Linked DNA regions of Macaca mulatta. The protein of the gene in region 1 binds, or shares a complex with, the protein of each later gene. Links are inferred from orthologs where the notes say so. Each region holds a gene or a part of one and is shown on either strand. Other genes may lie near its edges.

Region 1 (3,738 bases):
ATGGCTTTTTTGGTTGTTGTTGTTTGTTTGTTTGTTTTTGACACAGAGTCTCATTGTGCTGTCCAGGCTGGACTCGAACACCTGAGCTCCAGTGATCTTCCCACCTCAGCCTCCCGAGTAACTGAGACGACAGACATGCACCACCTCACCTTTCTCAGAGCAGCCTTTGGAATGTTTGTCTCTCTTGTGCCTCTCCTTGGTAGACACACAGTCTAGACTTTGGAATAAATGAATGTGTTAGTGACTGAATGGCAGGGGACAGGCAGCTCCATCCATGAGCCCAGGGCAGGGAGGGCTTGCTGGGTGGGAGCCATGTGCCCACGGTCCTAGGGAGTCCTGTTGGGTGGTTCCCTGGGCTGTCTGCTGCTGCATGCTCTTTTCGGACCCAGCACCCACATGGTTTGCTTGGCATTAGATTCCAGTTGGGAAGGGCTAGTACCTCCTGTTCCGGTCATCATCAGGCATAGGCATATGTGGAGATAGCAAAGGACATGGGGGCCTGACTGCAGCCCCCATTGCCTGGCTGCATGCCATGTACAGGATGGTGCAGCTCTGCCCCTTGGCTTCCTCCCTCTGCGTGCGGATTCCTTCATTCCCAGAACAAATACACCCTGCCTATGCTAGGATTCCTGGAGGCAAATGATTCAGATTGTTTCAGACAGTCCTAAGTGCTGTGAAGAAAATAGGAGAGGTGCCAGCATGGTGGCCTGCATGTATAGTCCCAGCTACTCAGGAGACTGTTGGGGGAGGATCTTTTGAGGCCAGCCTGGGCCAACACAGAGAGGCAGCAGGGAAGCCTGGGGGAGCAGAGGGCTCAACCGTAGGGTCTCTTCTCTGCTCAAAACACTTGATATATTGCCTGGGCCTTGTAGAGACCTTGGCTCTACAAAACAAATTAGCCAGACATGGTAGTGCCTGTCCGTAGTCCCAGCTTCTCAGGAGGCTGAGGCAGGAGGGTCCCTTGAGCCCAGCAGTTCAAAGCTGTAGTGAGTCATGATCATGTTAGTGCACTCCAACCTGAGTGACAGAGTGACATCCTGTCTCCCAAGGGGGAGAAAATGGAGAGAAGGGTGTGGAAAGGGGCTGATGGGAAGGGGAGCTCTCAGGAGCTGGCACTTTAGCTTAGACCAGGATGCTAAGAAGAGGCTGGCCCTGCCAGGTGAGGGGAAGACCATGCTAGCAAGTGGGTGGTGGTGTGCAGGGCTCTGAGGCACAGGGCTTTATGAACATGATTGGGGGTTGGGGTGCCCTCATCTCTAAAAGGGGGCAGAAGTCCCCGGAAGGGCTGGGCTCCAAGGCAGTGGTGAGTTCTTCCTGCAACTGCCCACCCTGATCCTTGACTTAAAACCTAAGGACAGGCGGGGCGCGGTGGCTCACGCCTGTAATCCCAGCACTTTGGGAGGCCGAGACGGGCAGATCACGAGGTCAGAAGATCGAGACCATCCTGGCTAACACGGTGAAACCCCGTCTCTACTAAAAATACAAAAAAATTAGCTGGGCGTGTTGGCAGGCACCTGTATTCCCAGCTACTCGGGAGGCTGAGGCAGGAGAATGGCATGAACCCGGGAGGCAGAGCTTGCAGTGAGCCGAGATCGCGCCACTGCACTCCAGCCTGGGCGACGGAGCAAGACTCCGCCAAAAAAAAAAAAATCTAAGGTGAATGGGCAGGTGCCCTGTGGCCTGCTTGCCCCATGGAGCACTGGACAGCAATGAGGGATGACCCCAGCCCCACACTCTAGTGGGAGGAGTCTTGCAAGCATGACGCAGAGTGAATGAAACTGGACCCCGAAGGGTCCATCTTATTCAGAAGAGCCATACCTACTCAAGGAGTGAGAAGTCAAAATGGTGCTTCCCCAGGCGGGGCGGGCATAGGTGGGAGCTCCTGGGGTACAGTCTGTGTTTTCTCCGGCTGGGTGCTGGCTTCCCAGGTGTCCACTGGTTAAAACCCCCTGACAGCACACCCAGGGCCTGGGCCCTCTGGCTGTGAGTCATGCGCTGCAGGGAGTCCTCTGGGGAGTGTGGGAGGAGCTGGCCCAGCACTGTGCTCCCCACAGGCTTCCCTGTCGCCTCGCTGTGTTAGCCTAGAGTGCGGTGCATCTGTGAATGTGCTAGGCAGGGTTTTCTGAGAGGGGCAAGCTCTGTAAAGGCATAGACATTGGCTTAAGACAGGACTTAGGGATGCCTTAGCTGAGGCCTGCCTGGCCGATGTAGTCACATAAGACCGATGGCAGCAGGAGCGAAGGGCAGAAAGGAAGGTCTCCACCAGCACAGGGTACAGCGGGGATGGGATGAAGGTAAGATGGGACTCAGGTGCCCCCGGGGTCACTTCAGGGCCTCTTGAGGGTGACTGTGCTGGGCCCTGAGCCAGAGCCCCTCATGGCAGACAGGAGGGTTGTGGGGTCAGCCTTGTTTTGGGGATGGGAAACTGGAAGGACAAGGGCCACCTGCAGTTCTCAGCCGGTGGACCCTGGTGGGCAGGGTGCGCCGCAGGCCTGGCAGGCCCCCGCTCCTCGCGGCCTCCCTGGGCTGGGGGCAGTCCCAAAGGCTCTAACTCATGTCCTTTGGTTGTCGTCACAGCTGAACATCCATGTGGGAAACATTTCCCTGGTGGACCAGTTTGAGTGGGACATGTCAGAGAAGGAGAACTCGCCAGAGAAGTTTGCCCTGAAGCTGTGCTCAGAGCTGGGGTTGGGCGGGGAGTTTGTCACCACCATCGCATACAGCATCCGGGGACAGCTGAGCTGGCATCAGAAGACCTACGCCTTCAGGTAGGATCGCGCACGAGTCTCTCCCTCCCTCATCTCCCTGCAAAACTGTTTTGAGAAAAAGACTTCTCTGTGTGAGTGGTGATACCTTTGAGGCTTTCTCAAGCTTCGCAGCACCATCTGGCTGGGGTCTGTGTGTTTGCTGTGTCCCCCTCCTGCCCTGTGTGTCTCACCGGGACTCCGCTGTACCAGGTAGGGTTAGAAGCACTTAACGCAATAGCTGGCAAAGACTTGAGTTCCGTCAGGGCGAACCTCAAGTCCTTACCTCCACGGAGCCCTGGGCCTGCCCCCCGCCATCCACCATTCAGTCATCCTGCCCCACACCTTCTCTCTCTGCTCTTGCCCAGACTGTTATTTTGGTCAGGGTGGCCCCTGCCCAGGGTTCTTCATCTGTTGAACTTGAATTCTGTCTGAAACACAAAGGCCCGCCCAGCTTTCAAGAGTCAGGGGTCCCTGGCAGTTCCTTCTTACTGTAGTAACTCTGCCTTTGGTCAGTCAGAGAGCATTTGATGAGTACCATGCTGGGCTGGAACCCATCCTGGCTGCCCTGGAAGATAGAGACAGGTCACCTTGATCCCTGCCTGCAGCATTTGGGCTGGCTGAGAAGGTGGTGGAGGTGTGAACAGAATATTCCAGTCCAGTGTCCTCTGTGCTAGGGATGGGGATGGACCTGGGAGAGGCCCTCCTGTTTCTGGCAGGAGGTAGGACTTAGAGTTAAAAGCGAGGTCAGGGCCCAGCACAGTGGCTTACACCTGCAGTCCCAGCACTTCGGGGAGCTGAGGTGGATCGCCAGAACCCAGTAGTTCAAGACCAGCCTGGGAAAAACATGGGGAGACCCCCTCTCTACAAAAAATACCAGAATGAGCCAGGCATGTTGGTGCACACCTGTAGTTTCAGCTACTCAGGAAGCTGAGGTGGGAGGATCACCTGAGCTCAGGAGGTCGAGGCTGCAGTGAGCCAAGATCATGCCACT
Region 2 (3,738 bases), on another chromosome or scaffold:
CCACTGCCCTGTCTGCTGCCAACTTGGCCTCCTTCTGCTTCTCCCACCCTGTCCCTGTTCTGCCCCCATGGTTCCTGTTCCTCTCCCACAGCCCAGCAAACAGAAGCGGAAGTTCTCTTCTTTCTTCAAGAGTTTGGTCATCGAGCTGGACAAAGATCTTTATGGTCCTGACAACCACCTTGTTGAGGTAAGACCAAGAGCCCCTCCGCCCTTGAATTGCCACCTTCCCACAGGCCAGAATCCCTGAAGAACGAGCACAGATTTGGGTCAGGGACCGCCCTAGAGTCCTGGGCCCCACCACTCCAGATGGGCCTTTGGGAGACACAGCTCTTCTCTCCTGGACAGTGGCATCGGACACCCACGACCCAGGAGACGGACGGCTTCCAGGTGAAACGGCCTGGGGATCTGAGTGTGCGCTGCACGCTGCTCCTCATGCTGGACTACCAGGTCTGCACCTGCCACGCTGCCCCATACACGCCACACAAGGCTCTCAGGGCAGGCCTAGGTCCCAAAGTGGTGCATCTCGAGAGACCTCCTTCCCCTCCCAACCCTATCCTTCCCCAGGGGCATGTTTCCTCAATCAACACATCCCCATAGTCCTGAATGGCCTGGCCCTGGGCTCCTTCCTTTCTCTCCCTTTGTTCTAACTTTCACGGTCCCCTTTTCTCAGCCTCCCCAGTTCAAACTGGATCCCCGCCTAGCCCGGCTGCTGGGGTTGCACACACAGAGCCGCTCAGCCATCGTCCAGGCCCTGTGGCAGTATGTGAAGACCAACAGGCTGCAGGACTCCCATGACAAGGAATACATCAATGGGGACAAGTATTTCCAGCAGGTAACCTCTCTCCTGAACCCTGGGATCTGGGGAGCAGGCAGAGTTCTCCAGCAGGGGAAGTACCTCTACCAAGGTAACTACCACCCCTCCCTTCTAGATTCCTGAGTAGCAGAAGCAATACACAGTCATGGTCTTGGAGCCAAGAGACCGACCAGGATTCTAGTTCAGGCCCTACTGTGGATTAGCTCTGTGCTGCAGTCAATCCATGTTAGCCCCCCCCAAGTTAGGAAGACCTGGAAACCCTACAAAGCCAACCGCTTTCTGGAATGTAATATTCTTGGCACTTGGAGTTAGGATCCCCAGGTTCTAGTCCTGAGTCTGGACTCTGGGTAAGTGACTCAGCGATTCTGAACCTTGTTTCCTTATCTTTGAAGTGGAGTGAAAATACCTGTCCTATCTACTCTCCTGGGCAGTTAGGAAAATCAAATTGCTGCAAAGGGATTCAGCAAAATTCCACCAAAACAGAGAATATTCTTATTAATGCATTTAAAAATAAATACAGCAGATAAACCTGAGGAGTTAAAACAGCAGTTGATATTTATTGGGCACTTACCATGTGCCAGGCACTGCTCCAAGCACCTTATGTGTATTAGTTCACTGCCTTCCCACGGCAGCCCTAGGAGATGGGTATTCTTTCCATCCCCACTCTAGAGATGAGCCCTGAGGTGTTAACTTGCTCCAGGCTGCATAGTAAGCGGCAGAGGCAGGAGTGATACATACACAGGCTGACTCAGGGCCTGCACTCTCAACCCCTGCCCCACAATGACCCACCCCCTACCTTGTCAGCCGTATGGGTGGCTCCACTGCCAGACCAGCCCACCCCAATCCCATCCCCATGCGCACTAAGGAATCAGACTTCCTCTCAGCTTCTTGCAGCCTTTCTAGAACAAAAGGATCTACAACTGCGTGATGATCTCTTCAAGAAGAGTGATCTCTCTCTCCCCAATTGTCCTGCTTCAGATTTTTGATTGTCCCCGGCTGAAGTTTTCTGAGATTCCCCAGCGCCTCACAGCCCTGCTATTGCCCCCTGACCCAATTGTCATCAACCATGTCATCAGGTGAGGTGGCCCCAGCTTGCTTCTCAGACCAGGGAATGATCTCGTTCCTGCCTTCCCTGCCCCTCCCTCTCCTCCCACTCCCATCTCTTCTCCCTCCCTGTTGGATCTGCCCCAGCCCCTGCGCCCTGGGGCCTGTATGGGGGCATCGTGGACACCAAGGGCTGGACTTCCCTGGCAGCGTGGACCCTTCAGACCAGAAGAAGACGGCGTGCTATGACATTGACGTGGAAGTAGAGGAGCCATTAAAGGGACAGATGAGCAGCTTCCTCCTGTCCACGGCCAACCAGCAGGAGATCAGTGCTCTGGACAGTAAGGTGGGGCCCAAGCCCAGAGCCGGAGTGGGATATTAACCCAGAGATGATAGAGGAGACTTTTCTGAGACCAGGGTGTGGCTGCAGATGAGCAGTCTGGGTTAAATTAAAAAATTAAAAAAAAAAAAAAAAAAAAGAGAGACCAGACTGTGGGCCAATGGGGCACAAATGGCCCTTCCATGCTGCTTGGAGTTGAACCTCATTCCAAGTTTAGTTCTGCCCATCCCCTCCGCCCCTGGGACTTCAGAGGAATCAGGGGCTCTGAGGGGTTGTCCTTCACAGGTCTCCCCTTCCCTCCCACTTCCTTTTCCCTCCTCTCCCACATCACCACAGCCAGGTGGAAAGCATCTATCTTTCTACCTGCAGATCCATGAGACGATTGAGTCCATAAACCAGCTCAAGATCCAGAGGGACTTCATGCTAAGCTTCTCCAGAGACCCCAAAGGCTATGTCCAAGACCTGCTCCGCTCCCAGAGCCGGGACCTCAAGGTGAAGAGGGAGACTCAGGGAGTACTGGAGTGGAAGACAAGCACATCGGGAAAGACAGTAAACGTTGTACTCCAGGGGCAGGTGAGGGGATTCGGGGCTCAGGGCTCACCCCACGCTCCCTCCCAGGTGATGACAGATGTAGCCGGCAACCCCGAAGAGGAGCGCCGGGCTGAGTTCTACCACCAGCCCTGGTCCCAGGAGGCTGTCAGTCGCTACTTCTACTGCAAGGTATGGAGGGACCCTTGCCCTAAGGCTTCCCCCTCCTCAACTCCAAGAGAAACCTCCCTGTTCAGCTTGTGGGCAGCCCTCACAGCTCCCTACAGTAAAGCTTCACCATACCGCCTCACCATGCAATGGCCCTCCCTGCTCCCAGATGCTCTTCCATGGCAGGCGGTGTCAGTAGGGGGGGGTTGTCCTGATCACTCACCAGGAACACTGACACCTGCTCCTGTTCTCACTTCCTCTAAAGATCCAGCAGCGCAGGCAGGAGCTGGAGCAGTCGCTGGTTGTGCGCAACACCTAGGAGCCCAGAAATAAGCAGCACGAGGGAACTTCCGGCCGTGCCCCGGGCCCCAGTGCTTTGCCCTGGGCTCCAGCATCACTCCTCTGCCACCTTGGGGTGCGGGGCTAGATTAAAAGTCATTCATCTGACAGCAGCCGCGTGGTCATTGGAAACTGGGGAGGGTGGGGGATGAAGGGGGAGGGAAGGGGGAGGGAAGAGGGTGAGGAGACAGTGGGTCCTTTTGGACAAACTCCCCATACCCTTCCCTTGGATTCTCCTCACTCAATTTTCCCTAGACCTAAAAAACAGTTTGGCAGAAGACACGTTTAATAACATTTTCATATTTTAAAAATACAGTGACAATTCTCTATCTGTCCACCATCTTGCCTTGCCCTTCCTGGGGCTGAGGCAGACAAAGGAAAGGTAAGGAGGTTAGGGCCCCGAGGCAGGCTAAGTGCTGTTGGCCTGCTCCTGCTCAAAGAGAGCCATGGCCAGCTGGGCACGGCCCCCCAGCCCCTCCAGGTTGCTGAGGCGGCAGCGGTGGTA
Region 3 (4,409 bases), on another chromosome or scaffold:
CCACTGACTGAGCACAGCCTTGTACCGTGAACTGGAACAAGGCCACAGGTTCCACGTCCTTATATGGACTCATCTTTGCCTGTTGCAACACACACTCAACGAACACCTACTACGTGCTGCAAAGCCCCCTGAAGGCCTGACGTGCCCCCACCTCACCACCCTTCCTATTTTTGTGTAAAAATCCAGCTTCTTGTCACCACCTCCAAGGAGGGGGAGGAGGAGAAGGGCATGTTCCTCTAGGTTGAGCTGAATGCCCCTCTGTGGTCCCACGCCACTGATCACTGCATGTCCACCAGCTGGGTACATACAGTCTCTGATTCCCAGAGCAGAACGACCCTAGCCACCCGGGTCTTGTGTGCTACTGAGTGGACAGACCCGAGGCAAGAAAGGGTGACAAGGAGAGGGTCTTCCCAGGCTGGCTTTGAGCTCCTACCCCGCCCCGCCCCCAATCCTCTCTGGCACATGGAGTCTTGGTCCCCAGAGTCCCCCCGCGGCCTCCAGATGGTCTGGGAGGGCAGTTCAGCTGTGGCTGCGCATAGCAGACATGCAATGAACGGTGGGCGCAGACCCAGGCTGTGTAGACCCAGCCCCCACACCCCGCAGTGCCTGGAGCTGCCTGGGTCACCCACTAACGCCCCAGGCCTGGTCTTGGCTGGGCGTGACCGCGTTACCCTCAGAAGCAGCAGCTCCTGGGGAAACTTTCCCTGCCCCGTAGAGCCCACCTTCCCAGGGCCGTGGCTGGGTGGGTTTGCAGCTTTCATCACAGGCCACCTCAAGCCACTGGACCGCTGGCGCCTGCCCTGTCCTGGGCAGTGTGGTCCTGCGACTTCTAAGTGGCCGCGAGGCCCCTGACTCCCCCAACACCACACTCTACCTCTCAAGCCCAAGTCTCTCCCTAGTGACCCACCCAGCCCATTTAGCTAGCTGAGCCCCATAGCCAGAGGTCCCGAGACCTGCTTTCAGGGCAGTTGCTCTGAAGTCGGCAAGGGGGAGTGACTGCCTGGCCACTCCATGCCCTTCAAGGGCTCCTTCTGCAGGAGCGCACAGCACCCAGGACCCTGGCACCCGTGCAGACCCTGGCCCACCCGACCTGGGCGCTCAGTGCCCAAGAGATGTCCACACCTAGAATGTCCCGCGGTGGGTGGGGGGCCCGAGAGACGGGCAGGCCGGGGACAGGCCTGGCCATGCGGGGCCGAACCGGGCACTGCCCAGCGTGGGGTGCGGGGGCCACCGCGCGCGCCCCCAACCCCCGGGCCCAGCACCCCAAGGCGGCCAACGCCAAAACTCTCCCTCCTCCTCTTCCTCAATCTCGCTCTCGCTCTTTTTTTTTTTTTCGCAAAAGGAGGGGAGAGGGGGTAAAAAAATGCTGCACTGTGCGGCGAGGCCGGTGAGTGAGCGGCGCGGGGCCAATCAGCGCGCGCCGTTCCGAAAGTTGCCTTTTATGGCTCGAGCGGCCGCAGCGGCGCCCTATAAAACCCGGCGGCGCGACGCGCCTCCACCGCCGAGACCGCGTCCGCCCCGCGAGCACAGAGCCTCGCCTTTGCCGCTCCGCCGCCTGTTCACACCCGCCGCCAGGTAAGCCCGGCCAGCCGACCCTGGTAGGCGGCTCCCGGCTCGGCTGCCTAAGGCCGCGGCCCCTTCGCCTGTGTAGAGCCGCCTGCGCCGCAGCGGGGGTCGCATGTGGGGACTGGACTGCAGTGGGGGACGCGGGAGAAGCCCCTGGGCCTCCAGAGATGTGGGGACACCCCGCTTCAGTTTGGCGGCGCGGGGCCCTGCTCGGGAGGCGCGCTCTGGGGGTGCTGCTCTCGGGATGGGGGCAGCCGGCGGGGTCTTTGTCCGAGCCGGCTTCTTGCCAGTGGGAACTGCAGGGTGGGCGCGGCGGAGCCCCCCCGCCAGGCTCGGTGGGGGGCTGGGGCGCCATTGCGCGTGCGTCCTGGGGCTTGGGGCGCTAACTCTGCGTGCGCGCTGGGAATCGGCGCTAGTTGCGCGTGCGCGCTGGGACTCCAGGCGCTAATTGCGCGTGCGTTCTGGGGCCCGGGTGCCGCGGCCTGGGCTGGGGCAAGGGCTGGCCCCGCCGGAAGGGGTGGGGTCGCGGAGGCTCCAGGGCGCTTGCGCGCACTTCCTGCCCGCGCCGCCGGCCGCCTGAGGGTGTGGCCGCCGCGCGCGCGCGCGCCGACCCGGCGCTATTTGAACGGAGCGGAGGCGGGGCCGGCTCCCGGTTGGGAGGGGGTGGGGGCCTGGCTTCCTGCCGCGCGCGGTGGGGACGCCTCCGACCAGTGTTTGCCTTTTATGGTAATAACGCGGCCGGCCCGGCTTCCTTTGTCCCCAATCTGGGCGCGCGCCTGCGCCCCCTGGCGGCCTAAGGCCTCGGCGCGCCGGAAGTGGGCAGGGCGGGGGCCACCTCGGCTCACAGAGCGCCCGGCTTTCCCGCAGCTCGCCATGGATGATGATATCGCCGCGCTCGTTGTCGACAACGGCTCCGGCATGTGCAAGGCCGGCTTCGCGGGCGACGATGCCCCCCGGGCCGTCTTCCCCTCCATCGTGGGGCGCCCCAGGCACCAGGTAGGGGAGCTGGGTGGGTGGGGCGGGCCCGGGAGCGGGCGGGAGGCGAGGGCGCTTTCTCTGCACGGGGGTCTCCCGGTTTCTGGGGTGGGGGCCGCGCCCGTGCTTAGGGCGCCTTGTTTTTTCTTTCCTAGGGCGTGATGGTGGGCATGGGTCAGAAGGATTCGTATGTGGGCGACGAGGCCCAGAGCAAGAGAGGCATTCTCACCCTGAAGTACCCCATCGAGCACGGCATCGTCACCAACTGGGACGACATGGAGAAGATCTGGCACCACACCTTCTACAATGAGCTGCGTGTGGCTCCTGAGGAGCACCCCGTGCTGCTGACCGAGGCCCCCCTGAACCCCAAGGCCAACCGCGAGAAGATGACCCAGGTAAGTGGCCCGCTACCTCTTGTGGTGGCCACCGCCCTCTTTCCTGGTCTCCCGGAGCTGCGCCCTTTCTCACTGGTTCTCTCTTCTGCCGTTCTTCGTAGGACTCTCTTCTCTGACCTGAGTCTCCTTTGGAACTCTGCAGGTTCTATTTGCTTTTTCCCAGATGAGCTCTTTTTCTGGTGTTTGCCTCTCTGACTAGGTGTCTAAAACAGACAGTGCTGTGGGTATAGGTACTAACATTGGCTCGTGTGACAAGCCCATGAGGCTGGTGTAAAGCGGCCTTGGAGTGTGTATTCAGTAGGTGCACAGTAGGTCTGAACAGAATCCCCATCCCAAGACCCCAGCACACTTAGCAGTGTTCTTTGCACTTCCTGCATGTCCCCCATCTGGCCTGGCTGTCCCAGTAGCTTCCTGAGTGTGACATGGTGCATTTCTTCCTTACAGATCATGTTTGAGACCTTCAACACCCCAGCCATGTACGTGGCCATCCAGGCTGTGCTGTCCCTGTACGCCTCTGGCCGTACCACTGGCATCGTGATGGACTCCGGTGACGGGGTCACCCACACTGTGCCCATCTACGAGGGGTATGCCCTCCCCCATGCCATCCTGCGTCTGGACCTGGCTGGCCGGGACCTGACTGACTACCTCATGAAGATCCTCACTGAGCGCGGCTACAGCTTCACCACCACGGCCGAGCGGGAAATCGTGCGTGACATTAAGGAGAAGCTGTGCTATGTCGCCCTAGACTTCGAGCAGGAGATGGCCACGGCGGCTTCCAGCTCCTCCCTGGAGAAGAGCTACGAGCTGCCCGATGGCCAGGTCATCACCATTGGCAACGAGCGGTTCCGCTGCCCTGAGGCTCTCTTCCAACCTTCCTTCCTGGGTGAGTGGAGACCCGCCTCCCGGCCCTGCCTGACCTGAGGGTCACCCTTCGGGCTGTGCTGTGGAAGCTAAGTCCGCCCTCATTTCTTCCTCAGGCATGGAGTCCTGTGGCATCCACGAAACTACCTTCAACTCCATCATGAAGTGTGACGTGGACATCCGTAAAGACCTGTACGCCAACACAGTGCTGTCTGGTGGCACCACCATGTACCCTGGCATTGCTGACAGGATGCAGAAGGAGATTACTGCCCTGGCGCCCAGCACGATGAAGATCAAGGTGGGTGTCCTTCCACCCTGAGCTGACCTGGGCAGGTGGGCCATGGGGCCCTGTGGTGTGTGGGGAGCTGTCACATCCGGGGTTCTCACTGCCTGTTTGTTTCCTTCCCTCCTCAGATCATTGCTCCTCCTGAGCGCAAGTACTCTGTGTGGATCGGCGGCTCCATCCTGGCCTCGCTGTCCACCTTCCAGCAGATGTGGATCAGCAAGCAGGAGTATGACGAGTCTGGCCCTTCCATCGTCCACCGCAAATGCTTCTAGGCGGACTGTGACTTAGTTGCGTTACACCCTTTCTTGACAAAACCTAACTTGCGC
Region 4 (3,738 bases), on another chromosome or scaffold:
CAGGTGTGAGCCACCGTGCCCAGCCCAATACTTCTTTTAATCTGTAAACTCCCCTCCATCTCTCTCTTTTTCCACCCCTTACTATTTATCTGTTGAAGAAATTAGATTTGTGCTATAGTTTCCCATAGTCTGGATTTTGCTGATTGCATCCATATGTTGTGGGGGTTTTTGTGTGTGTTGTGTTTTGTTTCGTTTTGTTTTTTGGCGACAGGGTCTCACTCTGTCACCCAAGCTGGAGTGTAGTGGCACATTCTTGGCTCATTGCCACCTCCACCTCCCGACTGAAGCAATCCTCCCACTTTAGCCTCTCAGGTAGCTGGGACTACAGGTACACGCCACCACTTCCAGCTCATTTTTTTTGTATTTTTAGTAGAGACAGGGTTTTGCTATGTTGCCAGGCTGGTCTTGAACTCCTGGACTCAAGTGATCTGCCCACCTTGGCCTTCCACAGTGCTGGTATTACAGGCATGAGCCACCGCTCCTGGCCCACTCTGTTGTACTTTCATGTGTTCCTCTGTCCTTTGCACTTCCTGTAAATTGGTAGTTGGAGCCAGAGGTTTGATCAGATTGAGGTCTGATCCCCTATCCTCTCCCTTTGGCAGAAAAACCGACTTCATAGGTAATATATCATCTTCCATCAGGTACATGTGAAATCTATGTCTTTCTGTTAACTGGTGGTGTTGCATACTTCATTAATTATTAATTCATGAAAGGGATGTAAAATTGTGATCGTTTTTAATTTTATTCCTTACTAGCTCTAGAGAAACTTTGCCTTATCTGATATTTGATTAGCCAGTGGTACAGTGTTTTTCATGTGTGTGTCTTGCTTTTTGAAAGGATAAAGGCTTGATTTTTGTTTTATTTTGTTTTCCCCTTTACCAGTTTTCAAAATATGCATTGGTTTACTAACATCCTTCAATATTTACCCATTTTGTTGTTTGTTTATACATATTATTAAGAACTACCAGACTTAAACATGTGGCTGAGTTGTGATTGAAGTTATTGCCGTTATTGATACTCAGGCTGGTTCAGGCTGATTCCTATATTCTTTTTGTTTTGTTTTTTTTGAGACAGAATCTCGCTCTGTCGCCCAGGCTGGAGTGCAATGGCTTGATTTCAGCTCACTGCAACCTCTGCCTCCTGGGTTCAAGCAATTCTCCTGCCTCGCCTCCCAAGTAACTTGGATTACAGGCACCACCACCACACCCGGCTAATTTTTTGTATTTTTAATAGAGATGGGGTTTCGCCATATTGGCCAGGCTGATCTTGAACTCCTGACCTCAGGTGATCCACCCACCTTGGCCTCCCAAAGCGTTGGGGTTGCAGGCATGAGCCACCACGCCCAGATGGTTCCTATATTCTGTTGACATGAAGTCATGGTAAGAAGTCATTGATAGATTCTTTACTGTCTAGTGTTTGAAGATATACCAGACTGGGAATCAGTCATTTGCCAAGGAGCCCTACCTTTTTCATGTTTCTGCTAAAAGGTGAGGGTTCATCAACATTTGTATTTGGAATTAATATTTTAAAACTCTAGTGTGGGGTATACTGCTACTGATGTAGTCATTGTTTGTACGATTTTCAGTGGACAGAGCTAGGAAATTTGTATGTGTTTGTTCGTATGCTTATATTTAAAGATAAAATACATCGTAAGTTCATAGTGATACTTTCAATTGAGATTAAAGGCCTCAAGGTAATTATTAATGTCCTGTGTTTTAACATCCGTTATCTCTTTTTATCCCATGATGAAAATCTCAGTTCTCAGTGATACCAGAGGTGATAGAATGTCACATAGCTGCTCATTTGCTTTATTCCTTATTCACAGCTTTCTCAACCTTACAGTACTTAGTCTCCCATCAAAAATATGATTACTAAAAACAGTTAAAATTTTTTTTTTAGTTCTTTTTTGTCTGCAGGTTATATTTCACTATAGACATGCTAATTGCTGGGTTTTACAAATTATTTGGAATCGTAGCTTGTGGTTATGCTACCATCTGTATACAAATTTAGGTTCATTTATTTTATTCATTTAACTTTAAGTCTCTTTCTTTAGGTAGGAAGAGTGGCATTTCTCCTAAAAAATCAAAATACATGACTCCAATGCAGCAGAAACTAAATGAGGTCTATGAAGCTGTAAAGAACTATACTGATAAGAGAGGTCGCCGCCTCAGTGCCATATTTCTGAGGCTTCCCTCTAGATCTGAGTTGCCTGACTACTATCTGACTATTAAAAAGCCCATGGATATGGAAAAAATTCGAAGTCACATGATGGCCAACAAGTACCAAGATATTGACTCTATGGTTGAGGACTTTGTCATGATGTTTAATAATGCATGTACATACAATGAGCCTGAGTCTTTGATCTACAAAGATGCTCTTGTACTACACAAAGTCCTGCTTGAAACGCGCAGAGACCTGGAGGGAGATGAGGACTCTCATGTCCCAAATGTGACTTTGCTGATTCAAGAGCTTATCCACAATCTTTTTGTGTCAGTCATGAGTCATCAGGATGATGAGGGAAGATGCTACAGTGATTCTTTAGCGGAAATTCCTGCTGTGGATCCCAACTTTCCTAACAAACCACCCCTTACATTTGACATCATTAGGAAGAATGTTGAAAATAATCGCTACCGGCGGCTTGATTTATTTCAAGAGCATATGTTTGAAGTATTGGAACGGGCAAGAAGGATGAATCGGTATGTTTTCAAAGCCATTTTCATTTTGAGGATGTGTGCTATTTAATACAAAACAGATGAAAGAATATTGCTTTGATGTACTATTTCCACTTACGTACGTGATTGTAGTTGGTAGCATGCTATTCTGAATTCTAATTAGCCAGAACTTCTTAAGATCGAGTATATTCTATGGGGGAGAGAAGGCACACCACTAAGTCATCTAGATTAAGGCCAGTGAGGAGGAAGACAAAATTGAAGGTCTCTTGAAAAGCATAAACTTAAAATACAGCCTTTCGGCCGGGCGCGGTGGCTCAAGCCTGTAATCCCAGCACTTTGGGAGGCCGAGACGGGCGGATCACGAGGTCGGGAGATCGAGACCATCCTGGCTAACACGGTGAAACCCCGTCTCTACTAAAAAAACTACAAAAAACTAGCCGGGCGAGGTGGCGGGTGCCTGTAGTCCCAGCTACTCGGGAGGCTGAGGCAGGAGAATGGCGTGAACCCGGGAGGCGGAGCTTGCAGTGAGCTGAGATCCGGCCACTGCACTCCAGCCTGGGCGACAGAGCGAGACTCCGTCTCAAAAAAAAAAAAAAAAAAAAAATACAGCCTTTCACAGAATGTGTTTTATAAAAACATAAATGTTTCTAATTGGAAATAGTAACTGCATTTTTCTTTTAAGGTTTGGCTTCAATGCATGACTGCTTTAAATAAAATAGCTCCAAGGTATTGACCTGAGGTAGACTGATATAAATTTGATCACCATTTTAAGTACCTCAGAGGGCTTCTTTTTTTTTTTTTTAATCTCAGGTTTCTAGAGAGCTTGCTGAAGACATTAAATGTTTTAAAAGAAGCAAATTTAGATTTACATTAAACTTAAATTTCCTTCTAATTTTTATCTGTGATATATATTTGCTGCATATCAATATCAAACTTGACTATTAAATTCAGCAATTATAGTGTATTTTATATGTGCTCTTGGAGACAGCTGGGAAAATATAAATAAAGATACAAACCGTACCTTCCTGGAGCTTACAACTTACCATGTTTAGAACTAGACCTTTAG
Region 5 (3,738 bases), on another chromosome or scaffold:
TAAACTACAGTGTGCTCGTCTTCATCCTACCTCTCTGACTGTTCCTTCTCAGTCTTTTTTTCTCTGCCTACCCTGTAAAGTTGGAGTACCCCAAGTGTCTATTCTTGACCTTCTTCTCAGTAAATTCTTTTGGGTCCTTGATCTTAATCTCTTTTGGGTCCTTGATCTTTCAGATAATTCAATGAAAGCTATGAATTTACTCTTTCCATAGAAACATGTACTTTCTACCTATGTACAAAATTGTATGTATCATTTCAAGGGGTTCATGGACACTCCTCCATGAAGACAAGTTCAAAGACATTTGCTTTCACACATTCCAGGCTTCCTCTCCTAGGACCTTCATTTGCCATCTAGTTACAATGACTCCCAAATCCATATCTCACACCCAGACTTCTCTCCTGCTCTCTTCAACAGCCTCCAGGTCATCCCTATCTGTAGAACATGTCTATAGCTGAGGTTGCCCTCTCCCTCCCATGAGTCTGCTCTTCCTCCCATGTCCCAATGGGTGACTGTATCATCAGGCTTGCTGACCAAGCCACAACCCAGAGGGCATCCTTGGCTTCTTCCCTATCACTCTCCCCATCTAATCAATGATGCTTAAATGGGAGCAAGACCCATTTCTTTCTCCATGCCACAGTCGTAATTCAGGCCACAATCATCACGCATCTGGATAGCTATAGCAGCTTCCTAACTGGTCCCCTGGCCTCTTGAATGAACCTCTCTCCCACTGGGTATCTACGCTTACATAGCAGCTAGTAAGATCTTTCTAAACTGCAATCTGATCATATCACTGCCCAGTTGATAACTCTTCAAAAGCTCTCCTGTTGCCCCACTGATGGATTTTAGCATGACAAAAAAAGCCCTCCTTGCTGGCTCCCTGGGGATTCCGACTGCTATATCTAATTTTATCCAGGATTTCTGCACTGGTGGGAGCCAAGGTGAGATTTGATACAAAACTTTATGTTGAAAAAGTCTTATAAGCCATCCAAACACTTTCAAAAATCACCAAATAGAACAGGGCTGAAACTAGGGGGTGGGGCCAGATCACAAACAGTTTCTGAGTAGCTCCTGTATGCAAGGAAGTCACTACAGTGGATGCAGTGATGAAGAAAACAAGATTTTCCCCCAAGGGCCTTATAGTCCATAAAGAGAATAAAGGGTGGAAAAAAGAGGCATGTTCCAAATTAATTAGTCAAGAAAACAAACATGTAGATGTTTTTTTTTTTTTTTTTTTTTGAGACAGAGTCTCACTCAGTTGCCTAGGCTGGAGTGCAGTGGTGCAGTCTTGGCTCACTGCAACTTCTACCTCCTGGGTTCAAGAGATTCTCCTGCCTCAGCCTCCTGAGTAGCTGGGATTACAGATGCACGCCACCATGCCCAGCTGATTTTTGTATTTTTAGTAGAGATGGGGTTTCACCATGTTGGCCAGGCTGGTCTTGAACTTCTGACCTCAAGTGAACCACCCACCTTGGCCTCCCTAAGTGCTGGGATTACAGGCATGAGCCACAGTGCCCGACCAAGAAAACAAGCGTGATTAGATGTCTACCACATGCCAGGCATGTAACATAAAGGAAAATGCATTTAAATGTCACAGAAAGGGAAAGTACCACCGGGCTCTGCAGGAGGGAAGACAGAACTTCCAGTTGAGGTAGATTAGCAAAGTCTTTGTGGAAAAGAAGTGCTTGAAGAAGATGTACTTGAAGGGCAGGCAGGGAATGGACATGCAGAGAAAGGGTCAGGGGTCTGGGAGAGCCTCTAGGCAGAAGTAGCCATTGGTGCAAAGATATGGCCTGTGTCCTTTGAAGTTAACCACAATCCTGGGGGGACCTGTTCTCACCTGGGCTCCAGCCTCCAGACAGTGAGGAAGCTTCTGGAAGCCAAGGGATGGCACTACTTGCATTTTTCTACATTCTAATGAAACCCTGAAGAGGTTCTGAGGTTCATCCCAGTACAGCTGTTGCCCATTTCACAGATGGAGGGAGTGGAATCCAGAAGAATTCAATTAAGATCTTCAAATATATAAAGTCATGGACAATAGAGACATTTTCTGCCCTTTGGAAGCAGAGCTATTGGCTCTGGAAGTTCAGAAGAATAAGGAATCCTTTTAAATTTGGATGTGAGGTGGTAGTCACAGAAGGCTTCTTGGAGGAGGTATGAGTTAAGCAGAACCCTAAAATAGGTGTAGGATTTATATAGGCTGGGAGGTAGAGGGGGAAACTCTAGGTGTGGGAAAAGCACAGGCATGTTCACGGAACAGTGAGGACTCCATGTGGGACCTGGAAAGGGGATCCAGTGAGGCCGATGTGGAAATAAGGCTGATGGGTAAGTAGGGGCCACACATTGGCCCCAAATAACGGAATCTCTCCTCCTCTGTGCTTGCTCTGTGTTCCACCAGGACCAGCTACTCTTCTGCGATGACTGTGACCGTGGCTATCACATGTACTGTTTAAATCCCCCGGTGGCTGAGCCCCCAGAAGGTAATGATGATGAGGTCAACAGTAACAACAGCAGCAGATACTACTACTACTAGCACTTACTGAGCTCTCACCATAGTACAGGCCTGTGCTAAGGGCTTTACATGTCCATGTCTTGTCTCATTTAATCGTCACAACCCCACAATGTAGGTACGACGACTGCCATTTTACAGATGAGGAAACTGAGGCACAGTCCAAGCAGCTTAAATTTCAACTTGAGGGCCGAGGAGGTTTTTCCCAGACATGCAGTGGAGATGCTGGGGAGGTGTGAGCTTCCAGGGGAACTAGCGCAGGGCCCGGCGACACTAGTTTGGAGGCATGACCAGGGAGTGAGGGTCTTGATAAGAGTTGAGCCCATCTCCTCTGAGCACCTGCTTTCTGCTGAGCCACAGACTCCGGCACGTTTTCAGGCCTGGGACTTGGTTTCTGCATTGCCGAAGTTCAAAGGAAACAGGGTTTACAAGAAGTTAGGGGCACTGGGGTGGGGCTCCAGAGTTAGCAGAGGGGCTGCTACTAAAGCCATCTCATTTCTTGCAGGAAGTTGGAGCTGCCACTTATGCTGGGAACTGCTCAAAGAGAAAGCCTCAGCCTTCGGCTGCCAGGCCTAGGGCCCTAGGTCACAGAATGTGACTTGCTGCTGGAGAGGCTAAAGCAGAGCCCAGCTCAAACCAGAACGCGCCCTCTTCCTACATATCCAGACAGACCAACTGTAAGGAAAAGAAATAGTCCCAGAGGGGCACGGACACATGGAACCAAGAGGGCGAGGCATCTCCTGACCGCCCCCGATATGTGCGGAACTTCAGCCAGCACCTCCTTGTTTCTACCGGAAGGAAGTTGCACTTCGGAAGAACACTGCCGGCCCTAGCCCTGTGGAACCCCTTTCACTTTTGCCCTAGCACCGAGGCCCTCTCATTGGTTCCCATTTTAAGGGAAGCCATTTCCTGACCACTCACCCATCATTGTGTGTAGTGTGGTGTTTTTTATCTATTGTGTTCCAAGAAATCTTCGCACAGCCCCCGCCCCCTCCAGCTTAGGCTCTTCATCCTGAAATTCTCACCCGAGGAATAAAGGGCTGTGGAGAAGTTGTTGTTTATGGCAAGCCTCACTGGAAACTTCTAGACTTGGGGTCTTGCAACCCCTTCTTGTTCCTTGGTGTCTGTGGAGACAAAGAGTTGCCTTCTAGAACCTCAGCAGTGGCATCCACAGCCAGCCTGGTCTTGATCCACTGCCTCAAGTTACTAGATGGGGGCGGGGAGGGAGGGAG
Region 6 (4,244 bases), on another chromosome or scaffold:
TCAGTGGTGAGATGATCAGTTTTGACTTCAAATCCATTTTGATATTCTGATTCCATTGTTGAATGTGCTCACAACTTGACTTTTTTTTTTTTTTTTTTTTTTTTTAAGGCAAGTAGACCGAAGGCAGCTTTGGTGACTCCACTTCTTTTTAAAGTCACCCTCCTCTGCCCTCTGACTTTAAGTGACAGGCAGTTCCCTCCCCTCTTTCAATTCTGTAAAATGGGGATAATCCGGACCTCATGCCCCCAGAGCCTTGTGAGGACCGGCTAATGAGGGCAGGCGAGTGGGAAACGAATCATCTGAACAATGACCAGTCATTCCTTTGGGCTCGCAAAGAGGGTAAAAAGGCTGGGTCTTTAGCGGGGTCTGTAGAAGGCTTTGAAGACGAAAAGTGCTGTAGAGGTGCTAAACAGCAGCCAACGGACCGGGCCCGCTGCCAGGGGGTCAGGGCTGGGCCGAGGCGGCCGCGGTCTCGGGCTCTGGCCAATTTTGCAGTCGCGGGTAAAGTTCACGCTGCCCGCTCCCCTCGGTACGGCCGGGAGGGGACAGACCTGGATAGGGACGCCGGGAGGGAGGCGGCGCAGGCTCCAGAGATGCGCGGGCTCCGGGCCGGGTTTTCTCCGAAGCCTTCGGCGGCGGCGCTGCCTAGCGAAAGCGGCTAAGGGCCTGCCGCCGCCGCGGCTTGTTCTCTCCCCTCCTCCTTTGTGAGGGGTAGGGAGCGAGTCCGTTCCACGGCCTGCGCCCGCTCCGCTCTCCACTCCGGGTTTGCAAGGCGGCCGCGACGGCGCTGGGTAAAATGGCAGTGCTGAGCCTCGTGTCGGAGTGAGGGGGACTCGGAGGAGAGTGGGGCGCTCTAGCCGCTCAGTCCGGCCGACCGCTTTCTCGCCCGCCCGCTGCCGCGCCGCAGCCTCGACCCAAGCCGCGGCTGGCGAGGGAAGGCAGGGCGCCCGGCCCGGCCCGCGCTCTGACTCTGGCTCCCGGCGCCCGGGCTGCTGCCGCGCGCCCTCCAGCCCGCCCGTCCCGGGTCCCCCTCCCCCCGCTCCCTCCCTCCCTCCCCGCCCCCTCCCCCTCGCCTCCCTCCCTCCCTCCCTCCTCCTTTCTCCGGCAGCAGAAAGCGGAGAGTCACAGCGGGGCCAGGCCCTGGGGAGCGGAGCCTCCACCGCCCCCCTCATTCCCAGGCAAGGGCTTGGGGGGAATGAGCCGGGAGAGCCGGGTCCCGAGCCTACAGAGCCGGGAGCAGCTGAGCCGCCGGCGCCTCGGCCGCCGCCGCCTCCTCCTCCTCCGCCGCCGCCAGCCCGGAGCCTGAGCCGGCGGGGCGGGGGGGAGAGGAGCGAGCGCAGCGCAGCAGCGGAGCCCCGCGAGGCCCGCCCGGGCGGGTGGGGAGGGCAGCCCGGGGGACTCGGCCCCGGGGCGGGGTGGGAGGGGGGGAGAAGACGAAGACAGGGCCGGGTCTCTCCGCGGACGAGACAGCGGGGATCATGGCCGCGCAGGTCGCCCCCGCCGCCGCCAGCAGCCTGGGCAACCCGCCGCCGCCGCCGCCCTCGGAGCTGAAGAAAGCCGAGCAGCAGCAGCGGGAGGAGGCGGGGGGCGAGGCGGCGGCGGCGGCAGCGGCCGAGCGCGGGGAAATGAAGGCAGCCGCCGGGCAGGAAAGCGAGGGCCCTGCCGTGGGGCCGCCGCAGCCGCTGGGAAAGGAGCTGCAAGACGGGGCCGAGAGCAATGGGGGTGGCGGCGGCGGCGGAGCTGGCGGCGGCGGCGGGCCCGGCGCGGAGCCGGACCTGAAGAACTCGAACGGGAACGCGGGCCCTAGGCCCGCCCTGAACAATAACCTCACGGAGCCGCCCGGCGGCGGCGGTGGCGGCAGCAGCGATGGGGTGGGGGCGCCTCCTCACTCTGCCGCGGCCGCCTTGCCGCCCCCAGCCTACGGCTTCGGGCAACCCTACGGCCGGAGCCCGTCTGCCGTCGCCGCCGCCGCGGCCGCCGTCTTCCACCAACAACATGGCGGACAACAAAGCCCTGGCCTGGCAGCGCTGCAGAGCGGCGGCGGCGGGGGCCTGGAGCCCTACGCGGGGCCCCAGCAGAACTCTCACGACCACGGCTTCCCCAACCACCAGTACAACTCCTACTACCCCAACCGCAGCGCCTACCCCCCGCCCGCCCCGGCCTACGCGCTGAGCTCCCCGAGAGGTGGCACTCCGGGCTCCGGCGCGGCGGCGGCTCCCGGCTCCAAGCCGCCTCTCTCCTCCAGCGCCTCCGCCTCTTCGTCGTCTTCGTCCTTCGCTCAGCAGCGCTTCGGGGCCATGGGGGGAGGCGGCCCCTCCGCGGCCGGCGGGGGAACTCCCCAGCCCACCGCCACCCCCACCCTCAACCAACTGCTCACGTCGCCCAGCTCGGCCCGGGGCTACCAGGGCTACCCCGGGGGCGACTACGGCGGCGGGCCCCAGGACGGGGGCGCCGGCAAGGGCCCGGCGGACATGGCCTCGCAGTGCTGGGGGGCTGCGGCGGCGGCAGCGGCGGCGGCGGCGGCGGCGGCCGCCTCGGGAGGGGCCCAACAAAGGAGCCACCACGCGCCCATGAGCCCCGGGAGCAGCGGCGGCGGGGGGCAGCCGCTCGCCCGGACCCCTCAGGTACACAGCTGAGTGGGGAGGGGGCTGGGGCGAGCGTGGTCCTGGGGGTGGGTGGCGGCTGCGGTCAGCGGGCCACAGCCTTGGGCTCCCCTCAGTCTCGGGCCCCCACTGCTGGGGAGCTGCCATTGTCTGGCTCTTCTCTCTTAAAATGGCTGCCTGTCTGCCTTCCTCTCCTTTCCTCCTCCAGCCTTTGTGTCGGGCTTTCCCAGAGGTGTCTGCTTCTCTTGTTCCTCTCCCTTGGTCCCTTCGAACTCCAGGGGTCTTGATGGGGGTGCGGGGCAGAGTGTGTGGGGAAGGGCCTGGCCGGGAGTGAGGGGGTGCTGGGGGCTCAGGTTAGGAGTGTAGGCAGTGGTAGGAACCCAGGAGTTGAATGAACGTTTCTTTGCTCACCTGCCGCTCCTCTCCGTCCCCCGGCCTTCCTCTGGGCCGCCCCCCATCTGTGCTTTCAAAGAGGGCCCCTAGAGCTCGGAGGGACCTCGAGGGAGGGCAGGGGACTGCTTGGGAGCTGCTAGAGGCCGGCTGCGGTTCACCTAGGGCAGCCCTTGCCATCTCCTGTCTTAGGCTCCGCCGGCCCAGTGGCCTGGGCTTCTCTCTGGAAGTGCTGGTAAACAGCTGAGTGATTGGAGTAGTAAGTGCAGATTGCTTTGGTTTGGGATTTGAATTATGGAGGTAAAATCCTTCTGTCAAAGCCAGGAGACAGTTGGTCTTAGGTTGACATCCTATCTGTGATCTGATTGGCTCCCCATCTCCTGCTCTTGGCCATTTATAATTGCCTCTGATGTAATGGTACAACAATCCTGATGAGCTCATAAACTTTTACACTCTGCTTTTCTGCCAGTGATAACCCAAACCATCGCTGCCACTATCTGCCTTTTATTCCAGAGCTGAAATTGGCTGTGACCTTGAGGAGGGAGGTTTAAGTAGCAATACTGTATCAGCAGGAGCAAAGCCTCAGACAGCCTGCCCTTGTTACATTGTGCCCGAAACAAAAGAGGGGGCAATGGCATTTTGCTTGTACCTTGGATTTATTTTGCTTGTTATGTTTTATGCAGCCTGAAATGAATTCTGTGTTGTCAGAACAGTAGCTGAGTTTTTTCTCTACAATGGGTTTGCTGTTTGTTTTGGTTTTGTGACTTTCCTGATGGTATAAATGACTTCTTTGATGGCTCTGAAGATGCATTTGTCTTGAGTAATTTTGACACTGGTTGCTTTGCAGAATTGAAATGATTTTACTGGGGTTTTTATTGAGTGGCAAATGTGGGATCTTTGTGGGTGGGGGAGAAAACAATTTTCGTTTTTTAGTTTTTTTTTTTTAAGAACTGGGAGCTTTCTGAGGAATTTTATATTAGGTTCAAGCATTCTGTGTTATGGAAGGCTGGCCTCATTCTTTGTTTACATGTTGAATCTTGTTAACACTTTCTTTTGTTAATTGAACTTTGGAATAGCAGCTTAATTTAAACGGAAGTTGGTGTCTTTCATGATCTTGAGGGACTTTCTCCTAAAGGCTTGGTTTGGTGAAATTGTTTTTTCCTGGAATAACAAAAAGTCTAGTTTTCTGTTTTGTCATCAGTCATTTTAGAGCTTTGAAATAGAGACTGGCCAATTTATTCCTTTGCATTT
Region 7 (3,097 bases), on another chromosome or scaffold:
CCCCAACTAAATCTTGTTTTTTTTTTTTTTTTTTTTTTTTTTGAGATGGAGTCTTGCTCTGTCGCTTAGGCTGGAGTGCAATGGCGTGATCTTGGCTCACTGCAACCTCCGTCTCCTGGGTTCAAGTGATTCTCCTGTCTCAGCCTCCTGAGTAGCTGGGACTACAGGTGCCCGCCACCACGCCCAGCTAATTTTTGTATTTTTAGTAGAGACGGGGTTTCACCATATTAGTCAGACTGGTCTTGAACTCCTGACCTCAGGTGATCCACCCGCTTCGGCCTCCCAAAGTGCTGGTATCACAGGTGTGAGCCACCGCGCCCAGCCCTAATGAAATCTTGAAGGACAAAGTAGGTGTTAATGAAAGGGCAAAAAGGGTAGTGGTGCTGGGGGTATAGGAGGCAGAAGACATTCCAGAAAGAGGGAATAGGGCGTGTAAAGATCCAGAGAGGAGAGAGAGAGCCTGGTGTCTTAAAGAAGTACCAGCCATTTAGTGTGCTAGATACAGCATAGAGTGCCAGGGATGGGATGTTTTGGGAAGGAAAGCTAGATAGGGAGCCAGATGCCTAATCATGAAGAACCTTTGATTCAGGGAAGATTGGTTTATGTTTCATCCTGAAGACTTGTGTTGAGAGATCATTACCAGTGGAGGGACTGATGCTATTTGTATGTAGAATCATCATTGCAGGAAGGTGGAGAATAATTTGTCAGAGGGCAGGGCTGGAGGCAGGAAGCCCAGTTAGGAGGCTGGTGCAGTAATCCATGTGAGACATGTTGAGGCCCTACATTTACAGTCCCGACAGTCAGGGTGGAGATAAGTAGATAGATTTGAGAGGTGTCAAAGTGCAATTGAAGGAATTTGGCCACTGTTGGGATTAGAGTGAGGGGTGAATGAGAAGGAAATGTTATGATGCCTCCCAGGTCTCTAGCTTGGGTGGATAGTAGTATTTACTATGACTGGGAAGAGGGGAGGAGGAGGAGCAGGTATTGGAGAAAGGGTAGTGAATTTAATTTTAGAGATGTCAAGTTTAAGCAGTCGGTTTGGTTGGAGTATAGAAAATAGACTCTGGGCTGCAGACTGGGGACTCATTATACTGTCAGTGGTAGTGGAAGACATACAAGTCAAAGAAATTGCTGGGAGGAGTATGTAGAATGAGAAAAGAGTTGAGAACAAAACCCAGAGATGAGAGCTTATGAGACAGCCCCATATGCCAGTCCTTTTCTTCCTGAGAACACTTTTGGACCCATTTGGGCTGTGGAGTAAGTATTCATCATGTAGCTTTGCCCATAGTGGGCACTGAGGAGACCAAAAGGAAAACTTTCCTCACACGGGGTGTACAGAGAGACACAAACAAGGGCAAATTACCTGCTGAAAGAATGCCAAGGGTCGGAGCAGTTGGAACTTTATATGATGGTACCAGCTGTGGGCAGCACTGTGACTAGGTTGGGAGTGGCATGTGGAGTTGTCAGGCACCACCTGCCATTTAACTTCTCATTTTTCTAGTTTGAAAATGGTATGGGCTTCGTTCTTCCTTTCAGATCCATGAGACAATAGAAACCATCAACCAGCTGAAGACTCAGCGGGAGTTCATGCTGAGCTTTGCCAGAGACCCTCAGGGTTTCATCAATGACTGGCTTCAGTCCCAGTGCAGGGACCTCAAGGTAAAGAACCTAGGAGAGGTCTGAAGGGACTTAGGTCAGTGAGGCACACACCTGCTTTATTTATGTAGCAGCTGGTAGAAGACCCAGAGGAAGGAGTAAGGGGCCAGATTTTTCTTTAGCATGTTCCAGGGTCCATTTTGCAATTAAGCAGGGAAATGGGGGCAGACCCATCACGTGTTGATTTAGTACTTACTTTGTCTGTCACTGTGCTTCATCTTGTCAGGGATACAGAGTGGAAGACCTGATCTCTGCTTTCAAAGCAGCCTACGTTCTGTCTGAAGAAACTAGGCTAGTATAGCCGGGCACTGTGGCTCACACCTGTAATCCCAGCACTTTGGGAGGCTGAAGCCGACAGAACGCTTGAAGTCAGGAGTTTGAGACGAGCCTGGCCAACATGGTGAAACCCTGTCTCCACTAAAAATACAAAAATTTAGCCGGGCGTGGTGGTGTGCACCTGTAATCCCAGCTACTTGGGAGGCTGAGGCAGGAGAATCACTTGAACCCAGGAAGCAGATGTTGCAGTGAGCCAAGATCGTGCCACTGCACTCCAGCCTGGGTGACAGAGCGAGACTCCGTCTCAAAAAAAAAAGAGAAACTAGGCTAGTGTGATACAAAGTAGTAAACCATGTAAGACATTATCAGGCCAGGCGTGGTGGCTTACGCCTGTAATCCCAGTACTTTGGGAGGCTGAGGAGGGCAGATCACCTGAGGTCAGGAGTTTGAGACTAGCCTGGCCAACACAGTGAAACCCCATCTCTACTAAAATACAAAAATCAGCCAGACATGGTGGCAGGTGCCTGTAATCCCAGTTACCCAGGAGGCTGAGGCAGGAGAATCGCTTGAACCCGGGAGACGGAGGCTGCAGTGAGCCGAGATCGCGCCACTGCACTCCAGCATGGCTGACAGAGTAAGACTCCATCTCAAAAAAAAAAAACAGACATTATCAGACTGACCAGGATCAATAAGGTAATTCAGAGAAGGGAGATCAGTGAAACTAGAATCTCTGGGGAAGGCTTCATGGAAAATTTGGGATTTGAAGACATTTCTCAGAAAGGGGAGCACAGTAAGCTCAGTCTAGTAGATAGGAATGGGCACAGAGTATGAACCCATCAGTTCTCACCCCTCCTGTGCTGACTGTGACTAGTTAGGCTGAGCAGAGGAGCAAGGGAAAAGGGATGCCAGGAAAGATCCCTGAACAAGGCAATGACTTGTTGATTGCAGAGGTGACTGGGTGTTGTATCAGTTTGCTGAGGCTGCTGTAGCAAACTACCACAAACTACCACAAACTGGGCAGTTTTAAACAACAGGTTTGTCTCACAGTTGTGGAGGCTGGAAGTCCAAAATTAGCGTGGGCAGTGCTGCTTCCTTCCGTGAGCTGGGAGGGAGACTCTGTTCTGTGCATCGCTCAGCTCCTGGTACCGCAGGTGTTCCTTGGCTT

Evidence for each region.
Region 2: SMARCB1 (region 1) and SMARCD3 share a complex: the UniProt entries of both Homo sapiens proteins name them as parts of the BAF complex. The link is inferred for Macaca mulatta from reciprocal best matches to the Homo sapiens genes SMARCB1 and SMARCD3.
Region 3: SMARCB1 (region 1) and ACTB share a complex: the UniProt entries of both Homo sapiens proteins name them as parts of the BAF complex. The link is inferred for Macaca mulatta from reciprocal best matches to the Homo sapiens genes SMARCB1 and ACTB.
Region 4: SMARCB1 (region 1) and PBRM1 share a complex: the UniProt entries of both Homo sapiens proteins name them as parts of the SWI/SNF-B (PBAF) chromatin remodeling complex. The link is inferred for Macaca mulatta from reciprocal best matches to the Homo sapiens genes SMARCB1 and PBRM1.
Region 5: SMARCB1 (region 1) and DPF3 share a complex: the UniProt entries of both Homo sapiens proteins name them as parts of the BAF complex. The link is inferred for Macaca mulatta from reciprocal best matches to the Homo sapiens genes SMARCB1 and DPF3.
Region 6: SMARCB1 (region 1) and ARID1A share a complex: the UniProt entries of both Homo sapiens proteins name them as parts of the neuron-specific chromatin remodeling complex. The link is inferred for Macaca mulatta from reciprocal best matches to the Homo sapiens genes SMARCB1 and ARID1A.
Region 7: SMARCB1 (region 1) and SMARCD1 share a complex: the UniProt entries of both Homo sapiens proteins name them as parts of the BAF complex. The link is inferred for Macaca mulatta from reciprocal best matches to the Homo sapiens genes SMARCB1 and SMARCD1.

Annotation. Positions count from the first base shown.
Region 1 is NC_133415.1:27,997,697-28,001,434, forward strand, and holds part of SMARCB1 (SWI/SNF-related matrix-associated actin-dependent regulator of chromatin subfamily B member 1), read left to right. Parts: intron 1-2,577; coding exon 2,578-2,768; exon of another isoform or gene 2,769-2,815; intron 2,816-3,738.
Region 2 is NC_133408.1:190,671,647-190,675,384, reverse strand, and holds the end of SMARCD3 (SWI/SNF-related matrix-associated actin-dependent regulator of chromatin subfamily D member 3), read left to right. Parts: intron 1-91; coding exon 92-187; intron 188-345; coding exon 346-447; intron 448-670; coding exon 671-832; intron 833-1,792; coding exon 1,793-1,890; intron 1,891-2,005; coding exon of another isoform or gene 2,006-2,068; coding exon 2,069-2,204; intron 2,205-2,567; coding exon 2,568-2,690; intron 2,691-2,816; coding exon 2,817-2,918; intron 2,919-3,159; coding exon 3,160-3,213; 3' UTR 3,214-3,318; downstream 3,319-3,738. UniProt on the Homo sapiens protein: Involved in transcriptional activation and repression of select genes by chromatin remodeling (alteration of DNA-nucleosome topology).
Region 3 is NC_133408.1:43,744,691-43,749,099, reverse strand, and holds the start of ACTB (actin, cytoplasmic 1), read left to right. Parts: upstream 1-1,557; 5' UTR 1,558-1,575; intron 1,576-2,433; 5' UTR 2,434-2,439; coding exon 2,440-2,562; intron 2,563-2,696; coding exon 2,697-2,936; intron 2,937-3,380; coding exon 3,381-3,819; intron 3,820-3,913; coding exon 3,914-4,095; intron 4,096-4,211; coding exon 4,212-4,355; 3' UTR 4,356-4,409. UniProt on the Homo sapiens protein: Actin is a highly conserved protein that polymerizes to produce filaments that form cross-linked networks in the cytoplasm of cells.
Region 4 is NC_133407.1:116,168,694-116,172,431, reverse strand, and holds part of PBRM1 (protein polybromo-1), read left to right. Parts: intron 1-2,053; coding exon 2,054-2,696; intron 2,697-3,738. UniProt on the Homo sapiens protein: Involved in transcriptional activation and repression of select genes by chromatin remodeling (alteration of DNA-nucleosome topology). Required for the stability of the SWI/SNF chromatin remodeling complex SWI/SNF-B (PBAF).
Region 5 is NC_133412.1:145,763,706-145,767,443, reverse strand, and holds the end of DPF3 (zinc finger protein DPF3), read left to right. Parts: intron 1-2,395; coding exon 2,396-2,477; intron 2,478-3,011; coding exon 3,012-3,082; 3' UTR 3,083-3,556; downstream 3,557-3,738. UniProt on the Homo sapiens protein: Belongs to the neuron-specific chromatin remodeling complex (nBAF complex).
Region 6 is NC_133406.1:214,286,775-214,291,018, reverse strand, and holds the start of ARID1A (AT-rich interactive domain-containing protein 1A), read left to right. Parts: upstream 1-1,426; 5' UTR 1,427-1,478; coding exon 1,479-2,624; intron 2,625-4,244. UniProt on the Homo sapiens protein: Involved in transcriptional activation and repression of select genes by chromatin remodeling (alteration of DNA-nucleosome topology).
Region 7 is NC_133416.1:57,268,772-57,271,868, forward strand, and holds part of SMARCD1 (SWI/SNF-related matrix-associated actin-dependent regulator of chromatin subfamily D member 1), read left to right. Parts: intron 1-1,536; coding exon 1,537-1,659; intron 1,660-3,097. UniProt on the Homo sapiens protein: Involved in transcriptional activation and repression of select genes by chromatin remodeling (alteration of DNA-nucleosome topology).